Linked DNA regions of Macaca mulatta. The protein of the gene in region 1 interacts with the protein of each later gene in a pairwise test. Links are inferred from orthologs where the notes say so. Each region holds a gene or a part of one and is shown in the gene's direction. Other genes may lie near its edges.

What was found.
Region 2: the proteins of HPGDS (region 1) and ABHD17A interact in binary tests that used the Homo sapiens proteins (3 or more experiments, as listed by UniProt). The two-hybrid records come from large-scale screens. The link is inferred for Macaca mulatta from reciprocal best matches to the Homo sapiens genes HPGDS and ABHD17A.
Region 3: the proteins of HPGDS (region 1) and MELTF interact in binary tests that used the Homo sapiens proteins (3 or more experiments, as listed by UniProt). The two-hybrid records come from large-scale screens. The link is inferred for Macaca mulatta from reciprocal best matches to the Homo sapiens genes HPGDS and MELTF.

What each region holds. Positions count from the first base shown.
Region 1 is NC_133410.1:103,670,846-103,678,706, reverse strand, and holds part of HPGDS (hematopoietic prostaglandin D synthase), read left to right. Parts: intron 1-4,601; 5' UTR 4,602-4,610; coding exon 4,611-4,743; intron 4,744-7,861. UniProt on the Homo sapiens protein: Bifunctional enzyme which catalyzes both the conversion of PGH2 to PGD2, a prostaglandin involved in smooth muscle contraction/relaxation and a potent inhibitor of platelet aggregation, and the conjugation of glutathione with a wide range of aryl halides and organic isothiocyanates.
Region 2 is NC_133424.1:2,594,452-2,601,790, reverse strand, and holds part of ABHD17A (alpha/beta hydrolase domain-containing protein 17A), read left to right. Parts: 5' UTR 1-95; intron 96-3,673; 5' UTR 3,674-3,911; coding exon 3,912-4,243; intron 4,244-5,359; coding exon 5,360-5,554; intron 5,555-7,339. UniProt on the Homo sapiens protein: Hydrolyzes fatty acids from S-acylated cysteine residues in proteins. Has depalmitoylating activity towards NRAS. Has depalmitoylating activity towards DLG4/PSD95. May have depalmitoylating activity towards MAP6.
Region 3 is NC_133407.1:2,575,002-2,582,862, reverse strand, and holds part of MELTF (melanotransferrin), read left to right. Parts: intron 1-2,257; coding exon 2,258-2,440; intron 2,441-3,603; coding exon 3,604-3,760; intron 3,761-5,260; coding exon 5,261-5,328; intron 5,329-7,861. UniProt on the Homo sapiens protein: Involved in iron cellular uptake. Seems to be internalized and then recycled back to the cell membrane. Binds a single atom of iron per subunit. Could also bind zinc.

The sequences.
Region 1 (7,861 bases):
TTAATACAATGACAGTGGAAGGGTTCAGAAATGAAGCTAACAGGAAACACGGGACCAGAATGATATTGGAGTTTTGCTATGCTAGTCAAATCATGGAAGATAACCTAGATGTTATTTCTGTGTACGATAGAAAGTCGGGGTCTAATTATGCTTATTTTCCCTCTATTGTCTCAGAACCATTTTAGTCTAGTTTCTTTATGTCCTCACTCTATGTCATGTCTGTCCTATATGTGAGGTTCTGTTTTAAGACAATGCACCTCTGAACAAATATTGCATTACAAGGCTTTTATCTAAGTCTTGCTCTCTGGTACATCAGGTCTTCCTCTTCTGTTCTCTTTTTTTGTTTGTCCTGGCTATTTTGGTCCTTAGCATTTCCATTTGAAGTCTAGGATCCAGTTTATCTGTAGAATCTCTTGAATTTTAAATATAGACAATCATTTTGATTGCAAATGGATAGCTGTGTTGCTCCCTTCCTACTACTTACAAATGTTATTTATTATTGTCTTACATTATTGAATTAGCTAGGCTGTCCAGCATTATGCTGAATAGTAGATGTTATAGTGGGATTCTTGTTATTCCTGACATTAAAGAAAATGCTTTTATTGCTTCACCATTATGTATGTTTGCTGTAAGTTTTCAGTAGAGACTCTTTATACGGTTAAGGAAGTATTCTATTACTAGTTTGCTAACAGGTATTTTATTTTGTTGTTTTTTTCATTTTGCTGAGTTTTGATCACAAATGAGTGATAATGTTACAAATGCTTTTTAAAAGCATTTAGTATCTATTGAGATGATAGTGTGTTTTATGATAATTCTCTTTCTTTTTTTTTGAGAGAGAGAGTCTCACTCTGTCACCCAGGCTGGAGTAAAGTGGCACGATCTTGGCTCACTGCAACCTCTGCCTCCCAGGTTCAAGCAATTCTTGTGCCTGAGCCACCTGCGTAGCTGGAATTACAGGCTCATGCCACCACACCCAGCTAATTTGTATACATTTTTTGTAGAGACAGGGTTTCACCATGTTGGCCAGGCTGGTCTCAACCTCCTGACCTCAAGTGATCTGCCTGTCTCGGCCTCCCAAAGTGCTGGGATTACAGACGTGAGCCACTGCACCCGGCCTGGTTTTTCTCTTTTAATGTAGTTTATTATACAGATGGATGTTCTGATATAACATCTTGTATTCCTGAGACAAACAGAAAATATAATCATGCAAATAACTACAGAAATGTCATATAAAAAGTACAGCTTCATTAATGAGTTACAACTGTTGAAAGAATATTTTAAAAGGCAAGATAAGCATTTGTTAGCTGCTATTGGGCCTCTGCCAAATCTTAGACTTCAAGATATTTTTGCAGAGAAATATAGATAACTGCCAACCTATGCTGAGAATTTTTAAATGTCTTCTTTACTTGAGTCATATACAATATAAAACAGCATGATTTTGAAAATTAACAACAATAAAAAACAATCACTTTGTTTTCATGCAGAATTCATCAGGTGGACACTGATATCTATGTGGTAGTTGATTGAATGAGAAAAGGTTGTATGTTTAACGTTTAATGCTGTTAACTTTTTTTTCTTTTTTTGAGACGGAGTCTTGCCCTGTCCCCTAGGCTGGAGTGCAATGGCACGATCTCGGCTCACTACAACCTCTGCCTCCCGGATTTCAGTGATTCTCCTGCCTCAGCCTCCTGAGTAGCTGGGATTACAGGTGCCTGCCACCAACCCCAGCTCATTTCTGTATTTTTAGTAGAGATGGGGTTTTACCATTTTGGTCAAGCTAGTCTCAAACTCCTGACCTTGTGATCTGCCCACCTTGGCCTCCCAAAGTGCTGGGATTACAGGCGTGAGCCATGGCACCCTGTGTAATGCTGATAACTTTTAATGTTGTAGGAGAAAATATAATTTCTTCATGCTGTGGAAACATTGACTATGCCAACAAAACCAATAAAAAAATTTATATAGAATGCTTTTCAAATAGAAGCTGCAGGCTGGGCACAGTGGCTCATGCCTGTAATCCCAGCACTTTGGGAGGCCAAGGGGGGTGCATCACCTGAGGTTGGGAGACGAACCTGAGACCAGTCTGGCCAACATAAGTGAAACCCCGTCTGTACTAGAAATAGAAAAATTAGCCAGGCGTGATGGTGTATGCCTGTAATCCCAGCTACTCAGGAGGCTGAGGCTGGAGAATTGCTTGAATCCAGGAGGCAGAGGTTTCAGTGAGCCAAGATTGAGCCAAGATTGAGCCACTGCACTCCAGGCTGGGGGACTGAGTGAGACTGTGCCGCAACAAAACCAAACAAAATGAAACAAAACACTAAATAGAAACTGCAACTAATAACCACACTTTTTCCACTCTGTAGGCCTTTAAAAATTGTTTTGATGTTTAAAACAAATAGGTCCAGGAATTATAACAATTATGCTTTTCCTGGATAAGAATAATCTCTTAATTATTACATTTTTTATTAACTATTTTGGTGCTCTTAGACCTTTTCCATTATTTATTTCTAAGCTCAACATTTCTAAGTAACCTGGAAAACAGTTCCATTGTTCTGATGGGCATTTCATTCAGTATCCCAAATTCGAACTCCTTTATATGTATATTTTTCCCCCAAAGAAATTTGTGGCTATAGATCATGGAATTCTTATTAGTTTACTCAATTCTTGTCTCTTTCAAGGACTTCCCCACATATCTATACATGTGGTGAGTGATACACCTCAGTTGGGTGTAGACTAGACTGGCTGATGCAAACTGGGCAGGAATGATTGGCAGTAGTACCTCTCTCATTTTAGCAAGGAGCACTAGCTTCACTCCACAACATCTGACACAAAAACCAGGGCCAGAAAAAATGGTTTTGCTAGGAATTACCATCACCGTCGCTTCCTGAACCTGGCAGCTTCTAGATATGCAATGAAACAGTTATTTCCAGGTCATCCTCTTCCCACTAGACTCCAGGAATATATAAACTTAAAGTCAGGACTTGGCAACCTGGATTTTTATGATTTGCGTTTAACCTTTTATATGATGTGATTTATTTTTATTTTTGGAGATGGAGTCTCACTCTGCTGCCCAGCCTGGAGGGCAGTAGCGTGACCTTGGCTCACTGCAACCTCTGTCTCTGGGGTTCAAGCGATTCTCCTGCCCCAGCCTCCTGAGTAGCTGGGCTTACAGGCACGCAACACCACACCTGGCCAATTTTTGTACTTTTAGTAAAGACGGGGTTTCACCATGTTGGCCAGGTTTGTCTCGAACTCCTGGCTTCGGGTGATCCTCCTGCCTCAGCCTCCCAAAGTGCTGGGATTACAGACATGAGCTGCTGTGCCTGGTCTGTGATGTGATTTTTGATGAAACCTTGTTTTGAGACTTGAGCCCAACTTTCCTTTTTATCTAATTAGTAGTCCATTAATGTTCTTTAAAAACTTTCTTAGTAGGGAATAAACTATTTAAACGCACCACTTTAAATAAATAATCATCTTTAAATGCTTTCATTCATTTAGTTACCATAATTATTATCTTTAGTGTGCTGTATTCATAGTGTTTATTCTTGAATACAGAATGAGATCAAAGTCATTACTAATGCTAATGATTAAGTTTGCCATTGTGCTATGTACCTTATATGCATTACCTCATTAATTTACAAATCCATGTTAATATCACCGTTTATCAAAAATGGTCTTTGAAATTCAGGGAGATTTTAACTGGCCAAAGGCCAAATTCAAAGAATTGAATTTCAAATGAAAACATTTCTCTCTCAGTTGTTTGATCTTACAAAATTAAAATATATTCCACTACAAGTGCTTAAAGTCACTAACCATTTATAAACAATGAAAATGAAGATACAAATCACTGAAAACCCATAAGATTATAATGACTGAATTAGCTGGTATTAGCAAACATTTTGAAATGTAAGAATAGTTGGCTTTCTTCCTCTACAGAGGGAATGAAGGAAGATTGTCAGCAGAGGTCTTGAGATGGGGTGTGTTTTGTGGTGCAAGTAACCCAGTAAAACCCAGTAGCATGGATGCAGTCAGAGGGAACCAGAGAGCAGTGTTTCCCTAGGCCTTGGATGCCTAGAGGGAAAGCCACAGGTGAGGAAAGAGAGGCAAAGACAGGTTGGCATGGCACTCACATTCCTCTTGCGTGTGCCCAGCCCTTGGCTGTCCTTTCCCAGATGTCCTCATAAACTCTGAGCTGTGTCACAAGAGCAAACAAAACAGGCAAAATATCAAATATTACGCATTACCAGTGACTAAAAGCAGGGCAGAATCATCTTAAAGTGGGAAGTTTTTTTTGCTCCATGCTCTGAAGGTTGGTGTGTAGCTACCCACTTAATCTGAATATTTTTATAAATAAAGTTTGAATTTGGTTATTTCACTGTAATGTTCTAACTAGTGCCGAGAGAGAGAGAGATTCATGATCTGATTTCAACCGAGTTTCCCCATATGTAATTAGATAGTGATTTATAATTTTGGTTTTGAAATATCCTCTAATGTCTCCAGTTATCTCAAGAGATGCTATAAAGTTTTCCAAAAAATTCTGAAGAAAAGTATTGAGACATCTCTAGAGGGCTCTAAAAATAATCCCTCCCTTTTTCTTTTTCCAGAATTGCACCATGCCAAACTACAAACTCACTTATTTTAATATGAGGGGGAGAGCAGAAATTATTCGTTACATATTTGCTTATTTGGACATACAGTATGAAGACCACAGAATAGAACAAGCTGACTGGCCTGAAATCAAATCAAGTAAGTAGCACAAATAATAAATGTAGGAAAAATATGCTTTCAGAACCTTTTGTTTTTCCTCAGGGAAATGAAAAAAAAAAAATCAAGGTTTTCGAAGCTCATGTAGCTTTAAATTGAGAAGCAGCAGTTCAGACAAACTAATTAAATGCTGTGTGATCGAGCAAATTTCCTATTAGAGGTGAAAACACAAACCTTACAGAAAGAGAATATAAAGGTAAACCAGTATAAAGCTTTATCAGATGAGAAGACGAGCTGAAATAAACATGAGACTTTTTTTTTTTTCTATTTTGTCACTGAGATAGATGAAGTGCAAAGAGTTTAGATTATTTTTCCAGTTTCACGACCCTAGCAAGTAGAACTGAGTTTCAAACCCAGGTCAGTTTAATACCAAGCTCAAGCTATTTGCACTAGACAATGCCAAAACAACACGACTAGGATGACAGGCCTATTAACCATGAACTGCCACAGCCTTTGGAAGTACGAGCTCCTTAAAAGTCATTGCCCTTATAACCATTCTTTTTCTTAGCAGAGGCCTCTTCTCTGGTGAGATAGCGTATCTTATTTCTTATTATCACGATACTTTACCATTAATATCCACATGTTTCTTCTGATATCAGAATTTGCACGTGGGATTTTAAGATGGTGAATATATAATAGGTGAACATTACTTTTATCCACGAATTAATTAGACCAAGATGGATAGAAAGGTGCAGATATTACATGTAACAAATTTTGCCTGTTAGCTTTGAGATGTAAGTTCACTGAGTGCCTCATTCCCTATTCTACTTGAACTTTTCATTGTTACTGAAAATGGAATTTCTCTATTTTCTTAATATTTCCATAGATTTTCAGCGTGGAAAGGAATCTTAAAGTTCATGATGCTTAGAATGTAGTTTCAGATGTTTTAATAGACAAAGACACAATGTCAAATTGTCTTAAAAAGGATAGAAATTTCATTTACACAAAACCCCAAGTGGGTATCATGATTTTGCTCCATATAGTCGTCAAAGATTAGGTTTCCTGTTGATCTGCCACCCCTTGGTGTCTTATTTACACAGTGTGAGATAGCTCATGCTCCTTCCACATTGTAGCTCAGAGAAAGTATGAAGGAGGGAGGGGACACCTCCCTTTAAACAGCATGACTAGAAAGTTGCATATGTCACTTGGTAAGCCCAATGGTCACATATCACTTCAAGGAAAATTGAGAGATGCTGATTTAATTGTGGATAATCATTTACATAGCTAAAAATCCAGAGTTTTATTACTCTAAGAAGAAAGGAAAGAACAGGTACTACTAAGGAGCAGTTTCTATTACAAATGTTATTTGGTCTCATCTGCTGTCCAATTTAGCAGTGCTCTCTGGTGCTTGAAACCTGCTATGACACTCTCTCTGCTAGAACCTAGAAAATCTCCAGTCAACACATTCCATCATTGGATACTTGTATTAAAATGTTCTCCTGGACAAACTTGGTAAATTGCACACACAAGTTTACATTTTCTCTCTTTAAAACGCTTTTTCTCTCCTTTAATAACATTGAAGTACTTCTAAAAAGGGCCGAAGTCCATAAGGACAAAGAAATAAAGCTTGAATGTAGATATGATAGCACACAATTCTGGAAGCTAAAAAGCAGGCCAAAGAATGGTAAGGTGACTTAGTAGGCCCAAAGTTCAAACGTAAACCTTGAGGAGGAGAAGGCAAGCTAAATCACAGAGATACAGAAAAAGGCTCATGAATTTGTAGTAGCAGATAACTCTAAAAGTTGCGCTGACAGAGGACTGAGTGGAAAAATGTTGATGGAGAGTTTTTCTTGACCTCTTTGTCGGACTTGTGCTGGGGTGCCCCATTTACTTCACCCACTGCACTCAATCCCTTGTGGGAGGGAGCATGTGAGCGAGCGAGCATGGGATCCAGCTGAGCACTTTGGGCACTGGCAGGAGCAAGCTCTGCACGGGCCGTGCAGTGGCACCCAGGTTGGGGTGCCTGCGACCCCTGAAGCTCCAGAATGCATGTTACAATGCTCTCTTAGCCCTGCCATCCATGGACAGCAGAGTGGTATCAGCTCAGTGGGCCTCTTGCCTCGTCACATGGGGTAGCTGCCTTCCACCAGCAAGGGCAAAGGGCCAGTGTGACAGCCTTTTTTGGGTCCCTGTACTTGGTGGGTCCTGAGCTGTTGTCCAGCGTCCAAGAAGAACAATGTCGTCCAGACACTTGAAGGATGGTGAAGGCGGAAAATTTTATTAAGTGAAGGAAATGGCTCTCAGCAGAGAGGGGAGCTGGAGAGAGGACAGAGTAGGCAGGTAGTCTTCCCCTGAAGTCAAGTCCTTTCTCCTCCGAAGTCCAGCCATCTCTCTGAAGTCAAGTCAACTCTCTCCAGCTGAGCCCCTTCTCTTTCCTCTACCAACTGAGTCTGGGGTATTTATAGGCAGAGGATTGTGGGACGGGGTGGGCTATAGGTAGTTTTGGAAAAGGCAACATTCAATTGGTAAAAAAGCATTATTCAGAAAGAACCCATCAGGAGACAGCAGGCAAACAGGAATAGATTTTCTCATGCTGGGTCATAGGTTTCAGGCTTTTTGGCTTGAAGGTGGGGTTTCCCTGGGGACCTGCTGTTGTCTACCTAGAATTTCTCTGCCTCCTGCCTCTATCAATGTGAAGAAGCACTGTGACCACCATATCCCTTCTCCTCCCTAGAATAAGCATGGAGGTTACTCTCAGGGGAGGATAGACCAGAGGCTTCTGGGATAACAGACATGTCTGAGGACACAATTTTATAATAAAGGTGGGATTCAATGGAAGTCTAGAAACTAAATGGTGAGATCCATAGCACCTTTCTTCTGCTCTACAATCCAGGCTAATATTCCTCAAGCAGAAATTGGAGAAATTCTCTCTGGGGAAGCTGATCAGCCCAAGCTAATGAACGAATGAGAGTTTCTTAATGAAACAGCCCAGCCCAATCTGTTGGCAAGCCCCTCCCATGCACGATGAGCTTACAGGTAGTTTTTATTTCTTTGCTTTTTAAAACATAAATGGCAATCAAAAATCAATAGATATTTGAGAAAAATCTAACAGAACACATACCTAAACAAAGAAGCAGAAAAAAAGCAACTCTGAGGAAAC
Region 2 (7,339 bases), on another chromosome or scaffold:
GCCGGGCCGGGGCGCGGAGGGACCGACGGACGCACGGGCGGGCGGCCGGGAGCCATGGAGCGCGGCCCTGGGGCCCCGGGGCGCGGGCCGAGGTGGTGAGTGCCGGGCAGGGGCGGGCGCGGCCGCGCGGGGTGGCCTCGGTCCCGGCCGCGGCCGTTTGGGGACCCTGGCCGGGCCGCGAGGGCCTGGCAGCCCACTTGGACGCCCCCGATTCCCCTGCAGTCCCAGGGCTGCCGCGGGTCCTGCCCGAGGAGCCCGGAGCAGGGGCAGGGACCGCGGGTGAGCGTCTGTGATTGGGAAAGCCCTGTCCCCATCCATTCAGCTCTCCGACGTGGGTTGCGCTCCCACCCTCCTGCGGACGCGGCCCCTGCCTTCGGGGATCGCCTTTCCGAGCCGTGGACTCCGCTCTTTTACCCCGAAACTGCCCCCAGCCCTACAACCGCTTCGTCCTCTGGGCCCCCCTGGCAGCTCCCAGGGGCCCTGCCGAGCCCCGCTTCCCAAGCAGCTCCCAGTTGCTGTTTCTCTTGTCAGGCGTCTTCCTGCCGCCTTGACTCCTGGGCAGGCTTCCCGGCCTCCGCTCGCGTCCGTTCTCCGGGATGCAGCCCTTCTCCTGTGTTGTCCATCCACTGCTCGGGACTTCTCCGTGGCCCCGCCATTTCTCCCAAGATGAAGTGCAAACTCCGCAGCAGGGCTCTCGGGGGCGCGACCTCACCCGTCCCAGACTCTCTTGGGACCCATCTGCTCACTTCTTCCTCCCAGGGTCTGCTCTAGCCAGGAGTCTGCTCTGTCACCTCTGAGGTTTTGCCCCTGCTTGTCCCTCTGTCCCATCCCCTGTCACCTGGCCCGTTTATCTGCCCTGTGATATGGCCGCACCTCCCCCCAGGCGGGATTCCCACCCTGACTGGTTGAGTGAGGTGCCGTCATCGTCTCCCATATGTAGGTCATCTTCCAGTATTTTGGCTGCTTGGTTGCTTACTGGTCCTCAAAACACCTCTAGCTCGCAGAGGGGTGCCCAGTTATGTGCTTGGGAACGGAATTGATGGGATTCAGGGTGTCAAGGGTGTGTGCTCAGTCAGTGAAGCGTCCGGGTTTGCACTCCGCAGTCCATGCCCATTAATGACACTAGGGAGGTTCCAGGTACCTGTGGCTGGAGAGGAGAGGAGACTAGACTTTCCCTGTCAAAGCTGTCGGACCTTGGGGATTCTTTTCCTCCTGTGTTTCCTCCCTAATTCTTTGCTGCTTACCACCTGCCCATTCCTTTAGTGAGTGGCAGGTCATGGTCCTGCTCTCATGGAGTTTCTGGTTTGGGGGTGGGGGGAGATCTGGCCGAATGTGTGAAAAATACAAGCTGTGGAAAGAGCGTATAAGGGGTCCTGTCCCAGCTTTGAGGACTCTGAGAGCGTTGTTGGCAGCAAGGTGCAAAGGGTGGTTGGGATGGGCAAGGCTATTTAGTGAGGTTGGGGAAGGGAGTTCCCGGCAGGGGAGCAGAGGCAGGAAGGAGCAATGTGGCTTGTCTTAGGAGAGCCAGGGGTGGCAGGGTGTGAGATGAGTGAGTCTGGAGAGGTTGGCCTGAGCCGGAATGCAGACCTGGCAGTCTGTGGGGAGGACTTTGATCTCTATCCAGAGAATAATGGGAGGCCCCCAGGACACCCCAAGAGGGAAGTGCCACCATTGCATTTGTGTCTTGAACAATTGTTTGGCTGTTGGGGGAGAATGTCCTGGAGCAGGTGATCAGCAAGGAGCGAGGCTGTTGCTGTAGCTCTGGTGAAAGGTGATGGAGGCGGGGACCGGGCGGTGGCTGATGGGAGACAGGCAGAGCCACTGGGCTGGTGATGGACTGGCTCAGATCCAGTGGGTGGAAGGAGGTGTCAAGGATAGCATCTTTGTTTCTGGCGTGGTTAATGGGGCCCTGGCCACCTCGGTGTGCCCCTTGGTCTCTGGGGTCTCCAGGGGCCTGCTACTGCCCACTGGGCTCTCAGGACCCAGCTGCATGATGCCACCTAAACTGCAGGGCCCTCCAAGCCCCCGGCACCAGCAGGGCAGCACCGATAGGGCCCGGACCTCTTTGAGAATATGTTGAAAAGCTGACATCAACCTCAATGCTGTGGATGTTGGGCCTGATCATTCTTTGGGGTGGGTCTGTCCTGGGCACTGCAGCGTGCTAAGCAGCCTCCACCCAGTCCCCAGTGGCGACACCCAAAACTGTCTCCAGACATTGACAGGTGTCCCCGGGGGGAAGATTTGCCTCCATCTGAGAAGCAGAACCAGTATGACAGTCCGCCTCCCCCCTGAGAAGTGCTTGCCTGTGAGATTTGCCTCCCGCCTGGGAGTCTGGGGGACGCTGTGATGCCATCCTTGCCCCACCCTGGCTTTCAGAGCTCTCTCCTCTCCTCCTTGTGTGCCCGTGAGGCCGGCTCACGGGCACGTGTGGGTCTCACACAGGTCTTGAGGGAGCAGGTGTGTTTCTGGGCCTGAGGCTGCTCCTTGGTGGTGAGGGTGTCCCCACGAGCCGTGTCTGTGGCGCCTGCAGCCGCCTGCGTGTCCATCTGTGTCCACATCTGCCTTTGAGCCTCATCTTCCTGGCCCCACGGTTTTCTCGTGCTGTGACCCAAAAGCCCAGCATTCCAGGGTGTTCTGCTGCTGAAATTGAGTTGTGAGCGTGTCTCCCTCCTCGCTCCCGTCTGAAGGAGAAGCGTGGTCGGTAGATAGACGCCTCAGACCTTTGTGTTTTCTTCACGTCTGTCTGTTGGCAGCTCCTTACACTATTGTGCTTGCTTTAGCAACTTAGCTGTTGTCGACTTAATGCGTTTCATGACGTTCTGCAGCAAGGAAGAAGGTCCGAGTTTCCACTCTGAATCAGGCGCCTTCGCTCCCCTCCCCCCTCACTTGACTTCCTGTGGGGTATGTGGTGTCTGCGCCTATAGATGAGGACACTGAGGCCTCAGGAGGGCAAGTGACTTGCCAAAGGTCACGGAACCCTAAATCAGCTCTGGAGAAGGACCCCCTGACCCCAGCCCGCCTCCCCTGCCCCTCAGCAGGCCTGGCCCCAGCACAGAGAAGAGCCATTGTCGCAGCTCTCAGGGCCCTGGGAGCCTGGGATGTATCCTGCCTTTGTTTCTAGAGCCTTTGTTATATTTCCTCTGTCTCCAGACATCGCAGGCCGGTGGGGCCTGGCCCCTGTGCGCGCTCACGTAGCGGGGCCTGTTCAGGTCCCTCCTCAGTCCCTTGAGTCCGAGCTCTGTCCTTGCCTCAGCGGCCCATCACCCGTAGGGTGGCAGAGATGGGCTGGGGAGGGAGTGGGCAGCAGTGCGGACCGAGTCCTGGTGCATGGGGTTTCCCTGGTGCTGGAGCCCACGTTTGGGGGGTGGGCGGGGCTGGGGTCATATCCCCTGCGTGCCCTGCATGCCCAGGCTGTGCTCACATGGCAAGAGGTGGTGATCGCCAGCTGAGGGAGGGTGGGGGGTCCTTCATCCCGTGGAGAGGGGGCTGAATTGGGGTTCCCTGAGCTGTAGGGTGCAGTGCCTGACAGGCCGCGGGGAGGGCTGAGGGGATGGGATGGACAGGCCCTGGGCCCATGCCGCCCCCTGGCACGGGTGGATGCCCCACCTACCGGGGGTGCCCAGCTGGACCATGGCACCCCCAAAGGACCCCACATGCCACTGTTCCCCCGCAGGGCTTCCCACGGCACGACATGGAGACCTGTGGTCGCAAGGCTCCCTGGGGCTCGGCTTGGACCGCGATGGGGCTGGGCCCTGGCCTCCTAACGGGGCTCCTGTCTGGGGCGGTAGCTGGGGGGGCGCCCTCCCCCCTGCCCGCAACTCGGAGCACCCCCACCCCTCCCCTGCTGGGCCAGGCCGGGTGGCGTTGTTGGCGGGGGCCCCGGTGGAGGCCCGGCCCGGGCGGCGCCCGCCATGAACGGGCTGTCGCTGAGTGAGCTCTGCTGCCTCTTCTGCTGCCCGCCCTGCCCCGGCCGCATCGCTGCCAAGCTCGCCTTCCTGCCGCCAGAGGCCACCTACTCCCTGGTGCCTGAACCCGAGTCAGGGCCTGGTGGGGCCGGGGCCGCCCCCTTGGGGACCCTGCGGGCCTCCTCGGGTGCACCCGGGCGCTGGAAGCTGCACCTGACGGAGCGTGCCGACTTCCAGTACAGCCAGCGCGAGCTGGACACCATCGAGGTCTTCCCCACGAAGAGCGCCCGCGGCAACCGTGTCTCCTGCATGTATGTTCGCTGCGTGCCTGGTGCCAGGTGAGCAGCTGTGGCCGCGCCCGGGCTGGGTCACCCTGTTCTTGGGGCTCCCGTTTCTGCCCCGGGTGCTTGGTGTGGTTGGTGGTGCCCCAGAGGGCCTGAGCCTGCTGTGAAGGGCCATCCAGCTGGCATGGGTGGTGTCCCCGGCCGGGCTGGCCTCATCCCTCCAGCGATTTCCTCTCGCAGACAAGGATACCAGGCTCAGGGAGGCCATCCCCAGCTGGCATAGTTGGGCAGGCCGGGCGACTCCAGCGACCCAGCCCCTGGTGGTTGCCTGCTGGGGTGGGGCACAGGGGCCGCCCTGACCTACATCCGCCTTCTTGCCAGGTGGGGTTCTGACCAGATCTGAGTCCAGAGGGCGAGCCTTTACCTTCTGGCTGGGCTGGGCAGGGTCCTGGGGGAACTGGAGGAAGCAGTCCATGGTAGGGCCAGCCTGGCCGCCTGCTCCTGGCACCACCTGGGGCAGCTCCCGTGCTGGGAAGCAGACAGGCCTTGCAGCACGGGCTCGGGGCTTGGGCAGGGTGGCGGGGCAGGAGGGGCTGCGTGAATGTGAGCAGGGATTGGGCGCATTTGCTTGTTGGGGGCAGGGGTGGGGTCCAGTTGTTCCCAACAGTGAGGGCACCATTCTGTGAGGGGAGGGCAGATAGCCCTGCCAGCAGCAGCACGGTCTTCCCTGGGAAGGTCCTGAAAGGTGGGCCTGTGTGCTCCATCCCCGGGGGTCCCGGCTCTTCCAGGAGGAAGGGCTGCAGGGCAGCGAGACCTGCAGCATCCGGGCACACACTGCGCGTCTGCCCAGAGAGAGGATGTGACCAATGGTCCCAGTGTCCCGCTTCACAGATGGGAGTCCTGAGGCTCCCTGGCTGGCCTCTCTGCAGCCCAGGCTGCCTGTACCCCTGCCGGCTCTCCTGTTCTCTCCCCATGGGGAACCCCTGGAGATGGAGCTGTGCTGTCGTAGCCTCCCCTGTCCATTCGCTGGCTTCGGGCCCCCTTGGGAGGGGAGTAAACAAGGCGCTGGGCATGGCTGGCCACCGGGGTGGGCTGTCAGTACGCGTCCTCCTGCCCTGCAGCTGGGCGCTGGGAATGAGGATGTGAATGGCCCTTCCCGGCCTGCCCCAGGTACACGGTCCTCTTCTCACACGGCAACGCCGTGGACCTGGGCCAGATGAGCAGCTTCTACATTGGCCTGGGCTCCCGCCTCCATTGCAACATCTTCTCCTATGACTACTCTGGCTACGGTGCCAGCTCGGGCAGGCCGTCCGAGAGGAACCTCTATGCTGACATTGACGCCGCTTGGCAGGCCCTGCGCACCAGGTGAGGGCAGCCCTGGAGGCAGCTCAGCCTGGGCACACGCGAGAGGGGACTGGGCCGGGGGGGCGGGCTTCCCTGGGAGGAAGGTGGGTGGCCCTGCAGCAGGGGAGCCACAGTGGACGCACAGGGCCAGAGAGCCAGACAGGCGAGCTCGGGTGTGTGGGTGCCGCCTCCATGTGGCCGAGGTGTGGCCAGGCGGTCCTCCCACACCCTGGCCTGTGGAGCCAGGCTTCCTGGGAGCCCCTGGCCTGAAGATGGGAAGGGGCTGAGCTTGTCACAGGGGCGTGGATGCCACCTGGCGGGAGGGGTTCGTGGTGTTTGGGGGTCTGCACATGTGGCTGGGAGCCCATCGGCTGAGGCAGCACTTGGGGCCAGGTGCGGCGAGGCTGCTGCATCCAGGTCCCGAGGCCTGGCCCATGAGGCCCTGTGGCTGTGGAGCTCGGCGGTCCCAGGGCAGGGTCAAGGTCTGGGCCAGCCTCGATTCCAGATCCAGCCCTCCTGGCTATCCAGGTCCCCAGCCCTGCGCTTGCCTGGGCTCTTCACCGGTGTTTGAACACTGCCCAGGCTGGTGCTGCTTTCGACGAGGAGACCCGGGTGGGCCTCTGGAGGCCTTTCCTGCTCACCACCCACTGGGGCTGTCTCGTCCTGGCCCTGCCCAGCCCACTGGTCTGACCCACTCCCGCAGGGACCAGGCGCAGCTCTGAGAAGTCAGAGGCCCTGGGGAGGTGGGGTCCTCATTGCCTTGGCGATATCCCAGGCAGTCCCTGCTGTGGGCCTGGGAGCTGGGTACCCTGGCACCACCCTGGCTCTGGGGGCCTCCCGGCAGTGTGGGGCACTGACACCGACCACCGCTTCATGCGGCTTCCTCGGCCTCTCCTGTCTACTGCCCGGGGCACTGGCAGAGTCACACCTGCCATGGCCAGCTCTGAGCTCTGTCTGCTCGGCCGTCTGTCCTGTGCTGCCTGCAGGAACTTAGGCCCAGAGCTGTGAGGGGGAGGCCAGAGTATGCCCAGGGCCTCCACTGGGGATGTGTTCTGTTGTTTGAGTGGTGACATCCAGGTGGCAGCTGGGGTCTCCTGCCTGGAGCAGGTGACGGCTGGGCTGACTCAGCACACTACTGGCCATGGCTGCTAGGGAGCAGGCCAGGGAGGCTGGGGCAGAGCTGGGGCCGCAGGCACAAGTCAGGCAGCACCCTTTGGGGCATGGGTGAGTGCTGAGCTGGAGTACTGCCAGGAGACTGGGGTTCCAGGCCAGGGACAGGGACAGGCTTGCTGGTGGAGTCCGAATGCCAGGCAGACGGGACGCACACCTGCCCATGCTCCTGCCTCGCAGGAGGGCAGCTGCCTGGAATCAGAGCCTGGAGCGTGTTGGGGGGAGAGTTGTGGGGTCCCGGCATGGGCAGGGTGGCAGGCGGGTCCCGCATGGTTGGGACTGGGGACGAGGAGGCCTTGGAACTGGTGCTGGATCAGCTGGGCCAGGGGCCGCACACCAGTGACCTGGGGGTGGGGGTGGCCCTGGGTGGGAGCTGGTGGTGCTGAGGTGGCCAAGGACTTGTCCACTCCCAAGGGAAGGTGCTGGTGGGTGGAGGTGCCACCCCCGCAGCCACCACCCTTGATGCTCACCTGGGTTGCACTGGCACCTCACTGGGTGTGGGGACTCTGAGAGTCCAAAATTGGGTGGAGACATCTGGGGACACAGCTGCCTGAATTCCTCATGGCCAAGGGGGTGGGCAAGGGCTGCAGGGAGGAAGAGTATCCCCTGTCCGGGCCAGTGCACTAGGAACGGCTT
Region 3 (7,861 bases), on another chromosome or scaffold:
CCGGGCGTGGTGCCGTGCCGGGCGTGGTGCGGTGCCGGGTCTGGTGCGGTGCCGGGCGTGGTGCGGTGCCGGGCGTGGTGCGGTGCCGGGTCTGGTGCGGTGCCGGGCGTGGTGCGGTGCCGGGCGTGGTGCGGTGCCGGGCGTGGTGCGGTGCCGGGTCTGGTGCGGTGCCGGGCGTGGTGCGGTGCCGGGCGTGGTGCCGTGCCGGGCGTGGTGCGGTGCCGGGCGTGGTGCGGTGCCGGGTCTGGTGCGGTGCCGGGCCTGGTGCCGTGCCGGGCGTGGTGCGGTGCCGGGCCTGGTGCGGTGCCGGGCGTGGTGCGGTGCCGGGCGTGGTGCTGTGTGTGTAACTGCCTGGGGTGAGCAAGGTGTCCTTCATGCCGAGCCACCTGCACACTCAGGGCCTCCCTGTCAGAAGCTTGGCTCTGGGTAGGGAGGTGCTGCCTGGCAGCCGCACAGCTCAACAGACCCAGCGCTTCCCCTTCCCATGACTTCTGTGACCTTGGTCAACCGCCACTTCCCGGACTGTAAAATGGGGATAGTAACACCTGCACTGTCACCCAGACTAAATGAGCCAGGCCGTGTGTCCACCTGATGTGGTACGTGCTGGAAAGCGTGAGTTCCTTTGCCCAGTGCCCGCATCACACACGGGACCTGCCTCCAGCTCAGCCTGCTCCTGCGTCTCCCCCATCACCTCTGCTTGGCCGGCGCCTGGCCTCCATCACAGTCCAGCGCAACTGTCACCTCCTCCAAGGTGCTCCCTGAGCCCATCCCTCCCTGGAGCGGGGCCTCTTGCCTGCACCCCCACGGCCTCTGCAAGCCTCTGCCTGCTCAGTCTCGTTAGTCCCCAGAGGAGGGTCCAGTCTTCCCCTGCGTCTATCCTCTGGAACTCCACACAGCGTCTCGCTTGGAGAAAGCACTGGCCGGTTCCTTGTTGAATTAATGACCATCCAATGACACACAGCACAGTCCAACCCTGCACACCCATCAGCCAGAACTAGCTCTGCTCCCAGGCCCCGCACCTCTTCCTCTTTAATTAACTCCATACCTCTGCTAAGCACCTGCCACCCGCTGGTCTGAGCATGGAGCCGTAAACAAAGAGACCTTGCTGCTCTCACAGAGCAGAGTAAACACACACAACTCTACAGTGACACGTGTGGGGGTGCTGTGAGGAAAAGGAACAAACACACACAACTCTTCAGTGACACATGTGGGGGTGCCGTGAGGAAAAGGAAAGGGCAGGACAGAGCAAACGAGGGTTGCGGAGAAACCCACTGAAATAGAGCAGGCAGGACGGTGCTCTGCGGAGGCGACGGGCAAGCTGAGCCCCGCAACGATCTCAGGCGGTCCAGGGAATGGGAAAGAAACAAGGTGGGTGAGTCAGAGGATGGCACCAGATGAAGCTACTTAGGTTGGTGGGGGCAGACCCTGGTGCGCAAGAAGGAACACTGACTTTATGTTCTAGAACCCAACTTCGTTCTGATATGGCCTCCCACACCACCCGGCAGTTTGTGCGTGCGTGTATGCCTGTGTGTGTGCGCTCGTGCAGTGGGAGACCCTCTGGTCATCAGTTCCCATAGCGGCGTCGTCTGTGTTTTGCCTGAACTGCCCCTTGGAGCCACCTTGGCGCAGGGGAACATTTCACAAGGCTGCAGAGCCCTGGCCCACCACACGCACCCTGCAGCCTTGAGGGTGGTGAGTGACTTGGGACCACGTTGCTAGGTGTCTCTGTCTCTCTGTCTCTGCCTCGTCTCACTCTCCTCCAACCCCCTCAGCACCAGGAAATCGCCTCTCCTCATCTGGGGAAGCCTCTCGCCTGCTCCCCTGCTCGTCCTAGCCACCCTTCTTCCCATGGCCCTGATACCGTTCCCTCAAACCCTCCAAGTTCTCCTAGGGGCCTAGGCTTTTGGAAAGCAAGGACTTGCTGGCTTCTTCTGCTTTCTGTCCAGCTAAATAACTCCCCTGATGTGAGCAAATGTGAACCAGCTAAGCACCAGCTGCTTAGGAAGAGGGGGATCTCAGTGAATACATCAGTATCTCAGGATCGTATCTACCTCAAGAGGCTAGAGGGCAGGGTCTCGTAGTACATGTGGATTAAGCCCACTTGCTGTCTTGGTAACGAGAATGCTATGCACACATCCATGATGTACAGCCATGCTCCGTGCACACACCTCTCCCACAGCCGGCCTCGGCAGGGTGCTGGTGCAGCCTCCCTTGAGGCCTCTCCCTGCTGCCCTCACCCGCTCCCCTCCCCTCCTAGAGGTTGGCACCTCCTATTACGCCGTGGCTGTGGTCAAGAGGAGCTCCCAAGTGACCATCAACACCCTGAAAGGCGTGAAGTCCTGCCACACGGGCATCAATCGCACAGTGGGCTGGAACGTGCCCGTGGGCTACCTGGTGGAGAGCGGCCGCCTCTCGGTGATGGGCTGCGATGTACTCAAAGGTAAGGGCTTTGGGCTGGGCAGGAGGGTCCCCAGGCCTCCCGCTCCTTTCCTTGGGATGCTTTCCTTTCCATGCTTGTCCCTTCACTGGGCAGCCTCCCTCCAGCCTCACCGCCATTCTTCATCCCTGGAAGGCGTAGCAACCTCCTCCGCCTCCCCGCACCGTCCACTCTGCCGCCGGCCCTGCGCGCCGCCACGTGACTTCCTGCTTGCTTGGCCCCTGTGGGCACCATTCTTGCTCACCCCTCACGGTGCCCCACATGACGGTCAGGCCCAGGCCCAGCCCATGAGTGGGAGGCAGTGAATCCCCCAGGAGTGCTTCCCACGCTGTCTAGAAATGTGTCCTCAGCTTTACAGGACCAGAAATGCTGTTTTTTCAGGACCCAAACAAGGTGTTGACTTGCACCCAGAAAGCCCCCAAGTGGCTCATCAGCCCAACCAGCCGTGTAAACCCACGAGAGCCTGGAAGCCGCACCCTCCCAGCTGGTGGCCAGGCGTGGGTGGCTCGCCAGGAACTTGGCATATTTATTACACACCTATCCTCTGGGAGGTCACAAAAAGAAGACTAGGAAGAGGGCTTACTCTGGAAAAGCTCAGTCTGGCTGGTGATGAGTGTGGCCCGATGGGCTTGGGTGCCGGCAGCAGGGCCTTCTCGTGTGGCACAGGATAAATATTTGTGAGTTTTGGTGCCGGCCGGGCCTGAAGAACCATGCAGGGCAGCAGACCCTGACCTCGTCCCCCACGAGGCCAGCCGCCGGGCGTTTGCCTCCCTCCCTGTGCTGTGAGAAGTGTCTGTCTTTATTTCCCCTCTGTCGTCAGTCACACCTCGCTGAGTTGGAAATGAAAGCCACGATGAGAAGAGCATCTAGTTGATGCTTAGTTATCCCGTGTGGTCATTTAGGAGGAAACTTGTAGTTCCCCCGAAACCACTTTTAAATGACAGTCGCTCCCCAGTGCTCACTGCTCCCTTGGGGGACCCGGTTTGGGGTCACGGATCGGGTCCGGGGTCCGGCTCCCCAGTTTTGCTCAGACTGAAGCTGGAAGGTGGAACCGTTCTCAGCAGAGTCCAGATGAGACCCTGCAGGGCCCGGCCCCCCGCTGACCCTGGGGTTTTAACTTGGCTCTGAAGAAAGTTCTGAGTGACCTCTCTGCCTCCTTCCCACAGCTGTCAGCGACTATTTTGGGGGCAGCTGCGTCCCGGGGGCAGGAGAGACCCGTTACTCTGAGTCCCTCTGTCGCCTCTGCAGGGGTGACAGCTCTGGGGAAGGGGTGTGTGACAAGAGCCCCCTGGAGAGATACTACGACTACAGCGGGGCCTTCCGGTGAGCGGAGCGGGGGTGGGGAGGGCCGGGCGGGGAGGAGCTGAGTCGTGCGGGCGGGCGGAGGCGCTACGGCCACGGATGCTGGGGAAAAGCACCTTTGCCCAGAGAGGCCGTGGAGGGGAAGTGGCGGTGTTGGCTGCCTCTCATCAAAGCGCGCTTTATATAGTTCTGTGCCCTGGTTAGTTTAAAAACATCCAACCGGAATATGCCAAACTGGATTTGCTCATAAAATCAACATGTTTGGTATATTTAGTGAGGTGAGGGCTCGGAGAGAAGAAAATGGAAAAAACAGCCTTTTGACCACTCCCATGTCCCTGTTCTCAGACCAGCAGGGACAGGGGGTTGGGGGACTGTGGCTTGACACTTGGGGCCGGCCTGTCTCTGCTGCTGGTTGGGGCTGGCACCTTGGGTAATCCTTCCGTGGATACAAGAGAGTCTCTAACAGTTCGTGGTCCAATTCCGTCTGCCTGCAGAGGAGGAAACGTGCTGAGCAGGACTGGAAGGAAGCTTCTGGGGCTCCTCTAGCTGCCTCACGTTTCCACCTGGAGCGGGGAAGCCTGCTGGTGTCCCACGCTCCAGATGTGATCTGAGTGGATGCAGTTTTTGGCATAGAGAGAGGAAACAGTACTCAGCCCCTCTGAGCGGCAGAGCCTTGCCCCTCCCCTGCCCCGCGTCCTTGGCCACGCACGCATTCTCTCTGACTCTCCTGGAGCCTCAGAGCCCTCTCCTGATGTCGTCCTCCCCGACCTGCTCTAATCCCTGCGTGTTTTCTGCCTGTGGGGACCTAAGCAGCCTCTTTGCCCAGCAGGTCTCACCTGCCTCCAACACGAGGCAGTGACATCAACAGAACATGTACGAGTCAATGGTCCCTCACACTCAGGATCCTGCGGCATGGCATGAAAAGGCCTTCTAGTCCAATCCCCTGCCTCAGGGTAGAATGCTTTTCAAAACACCCTGAAAATTAGCCCAACATGGTGGCACACACCTGTCCTCCCAGCTACTTTGGAGGCAGAGGCAGGATGATCACTTGAGCCCAAGAGGTCAAAGCTGCCATGAGCTATGATTGTGCCAGTGCACCCCAGCCTGGGCGACACGGCGAGACCTTATCTCTAAAAACAAAATAACCAAAACCAACACCCTGAGAGTCAAGGCTGCTGGTATTATAACAGCAGCTGCCCTGGGAGTGCCTGCTCCCTACAGGCCTGAGCCAGGCTGGAGAGGGTCTGTACTGGGTTATAAAGAGCCTCTCATCCTCAGAGCAGCCCGATGGAGCTGCTTTCCCGCCCCCGCTTTACAGGTGATAGGGACTAGGAAGGGGCCACAACTCAGCAAAGCCGCAAAGCCACACAGACAACCAGCCAGGGAGCTGGAACCCAGACCACATGACTGGAAAGCCCATGCCGATCATGGCCACCCCTACAGCCCGAGCCAGGCCTCCAGAGGTGGAAGATGGGCAGGGGCCAGGGGCTCAGCCCATCCAGACCCACAGCTTCTCCACAGGTGCCTGGTGGAAGGGGCAGGGGACGTGGCCTTTGTGAAGCACAGCACGGTACTGGAGAACACGGATGGTGAGTGGGGGCAGGGCACGGGCCCAGAAAAGCAGCGTGCCAGGCCAGGCCGGCCTGGGGCAGGGCACCTAGATGGCAGAGTTGGGATCAAACACCCTAGTTCAGTGCTGCTCTGAGTCTCTGGGTGATCTTGGATAAGTCCCATAGTCTCTGAGCCTCAGCACTCCCAGCTGCAAAAGAGCAGAGGCAAGTGTCACCGGGGGAGTGCCCACTGCTCACAGGGCAGGAGAAGGGGGCCAGCGAGCAGCTCTGCTCTGCTCTGATCTGAATATGGCATTGGGTTCTGGTTCCACCTGAAGATGGGGGTCTGATTTTTTAAAGAATTTGCAAACCTCTCCACTGGATCTCACCTACCAGCCCTTCCTGGCATTTTTCTCCTCTTGCCTGGAGAATCTGTCCCTCATCCCTAGGTAGGTTTAAAATATAGGTTGGTGTTGAGGTGGGGCACGCTGGCTCATGTCTGTAATCCCAGCACTTTGGGAGGCCGAGGTGGGCAGATCACGAGGTCAGGAGATCAAGACCATCCTGGCCAACATGGCGAAATCCTGTCTCTACTAAAATACAAAAAACTAGCTGGGCATGGTGGTGGTTGCTTGTAATCCTAGCTACTCGGGAGGCTGAGGCAGGGGAATTGCTTGAACCCGGAAGGCGGAGCTTGCAGTGTGTTGAGATTGTGCCATTGCACTCCAGCCTGGTGACAGAGCGAGACTCTGTCTAAAAAAATAAAAAACAAAAAAAGATTGATGTTATATATTAAGCCATCATGTCACTTAAGTTTTTTAATCTTGAAAGAACTGAGCTTTGGAAAAGTTACAAGAATAACTCAAAGAGCTGCCTTCTCTTCTTCACCCAAATTCTAACTGTTTAGCATTTTTCCACATTTGATTTGTGTGTGTGTGTGTTCTGACCCATTTGAGAGTATATTTGCCTATGTCATACCCCTTAAATACTTTACTATGTATCTCCTAAGGCAAGGAGATGTGTACCTAGCCACAGTAATCAAAATCAGGAAATGCAACTTTGATCCAATCCTGTTATCCAATCTATAATCAATATTGCAGATTCACTCACCATCCCAATTCTATCCTTCATACCCATTTTTTTCAGACCAGGACTGAATCTTTTACCACGTTTGGGGTTTAGTTGTTAGATCTCTTTAGTTTCCTTTATCTTGGAACAGTTTCTCAGTCTTTGTTTTTTATGACATTGGCATTTTGAAGCATCAGGCCAGTTATTTTATAGAATGTCCCTCAATTTAGATTTGCCTGAAGATTGTTTCTTTTTTTAAATTGAGATAAAATTTACATGCAGCAAAATTTGTTCTTTTTGAAGTATAGTTCTATGAGTTTTGCCAAATCCATACAGTTGTATAACCACCACCAGAATCGAGATCTGGATGGGGCAGATGCTTCAGCCCAGGAGTTCCTCAGGCCCTGCTGGTTATCCCCCTGCACCTGCCAGCAAGGAGCAAACACACTGTTCTGTCTGCAGTTTGGCCTCTCCCAGGACATCTGATGATTGGGGTTTTTTTAAGTCATTATCATTCTTTACTGTTATCAATCGTTGCCTTTTAAATCAGAAAGTCCATCATGAAGGCAAACATGGACCAGATCCGAGAAGGAGGAAAACAAGTGGCCTGCACACGAGGAAGCGTGTAAGATGATGCACTCTCGTGCTGGGCAAGCCTGGAAAGGGGCTCCTGTTCACAGGCCCCAAGACGAGTTCGACAAAGGAGAATTTGGAAAATGGGCAAAGAGCAGGGATATGTTGGGTTAAAAATCAGCTTTTTCAGACTTGGGTTTTTTGGTTTTTTTGTTTTTTTTGTTTTTGAGATGGGGTCTCACCATGTTGCTCAGGCTGGTCTCAAACCCCCAGCCTCAATTGATCCTCGCATCCCAGCCTCCTGAGTAGCTGGGATTACAGGCATGCACCTGGCAGCTTTTTCAAAGTTTTGACGGTAATCTAAGGCAATCTAAGGCAGTAATTTTTTTAAGTGACTTGATATAAAAAGATTGGTAAGAGCAAAAGGGTACAAGTGGCATAAATGTCTAGAGCAGGGAAGTGACAGGACTTTCATTGTTCTTGGCTTTGAGAAGTGGAAGTGGCTGATGGAAGTACCTGAATGATGCATTTGTCTGTGGGAAGGCAAAGGATGCCCCAGAGCTCTAACCAAAGGCTTTGCAGCAGCCTAAAAACAGAGAAAAGTTGGGAAGTGGAGGGGGGAGAACTGCACTGAGTCATTAAGAGTGCTGTCAAGTACCATGTGGCCATTAAAAATGACCTTTATGGAGTTTTCCAAACTGTTACTCTGGTGTGGGTTTTTTGGTTTTGTTTTAAAATAGCTTTGCAATGAAAACTTTCGTGACCATACAAATTATCTTTTCTCTTCCTATTTCCTTGTAGAGGTTTTTTCCCTCCTTGTCTTAAAGTCATAAAAATATTGTTCTGTGGGACCATCTGTGGTTTAATTATAGTCCTTAATATTCATCTTCTCAGTATCCCTAGTTGGTGTTAATAGTTACTCTTGCAAATT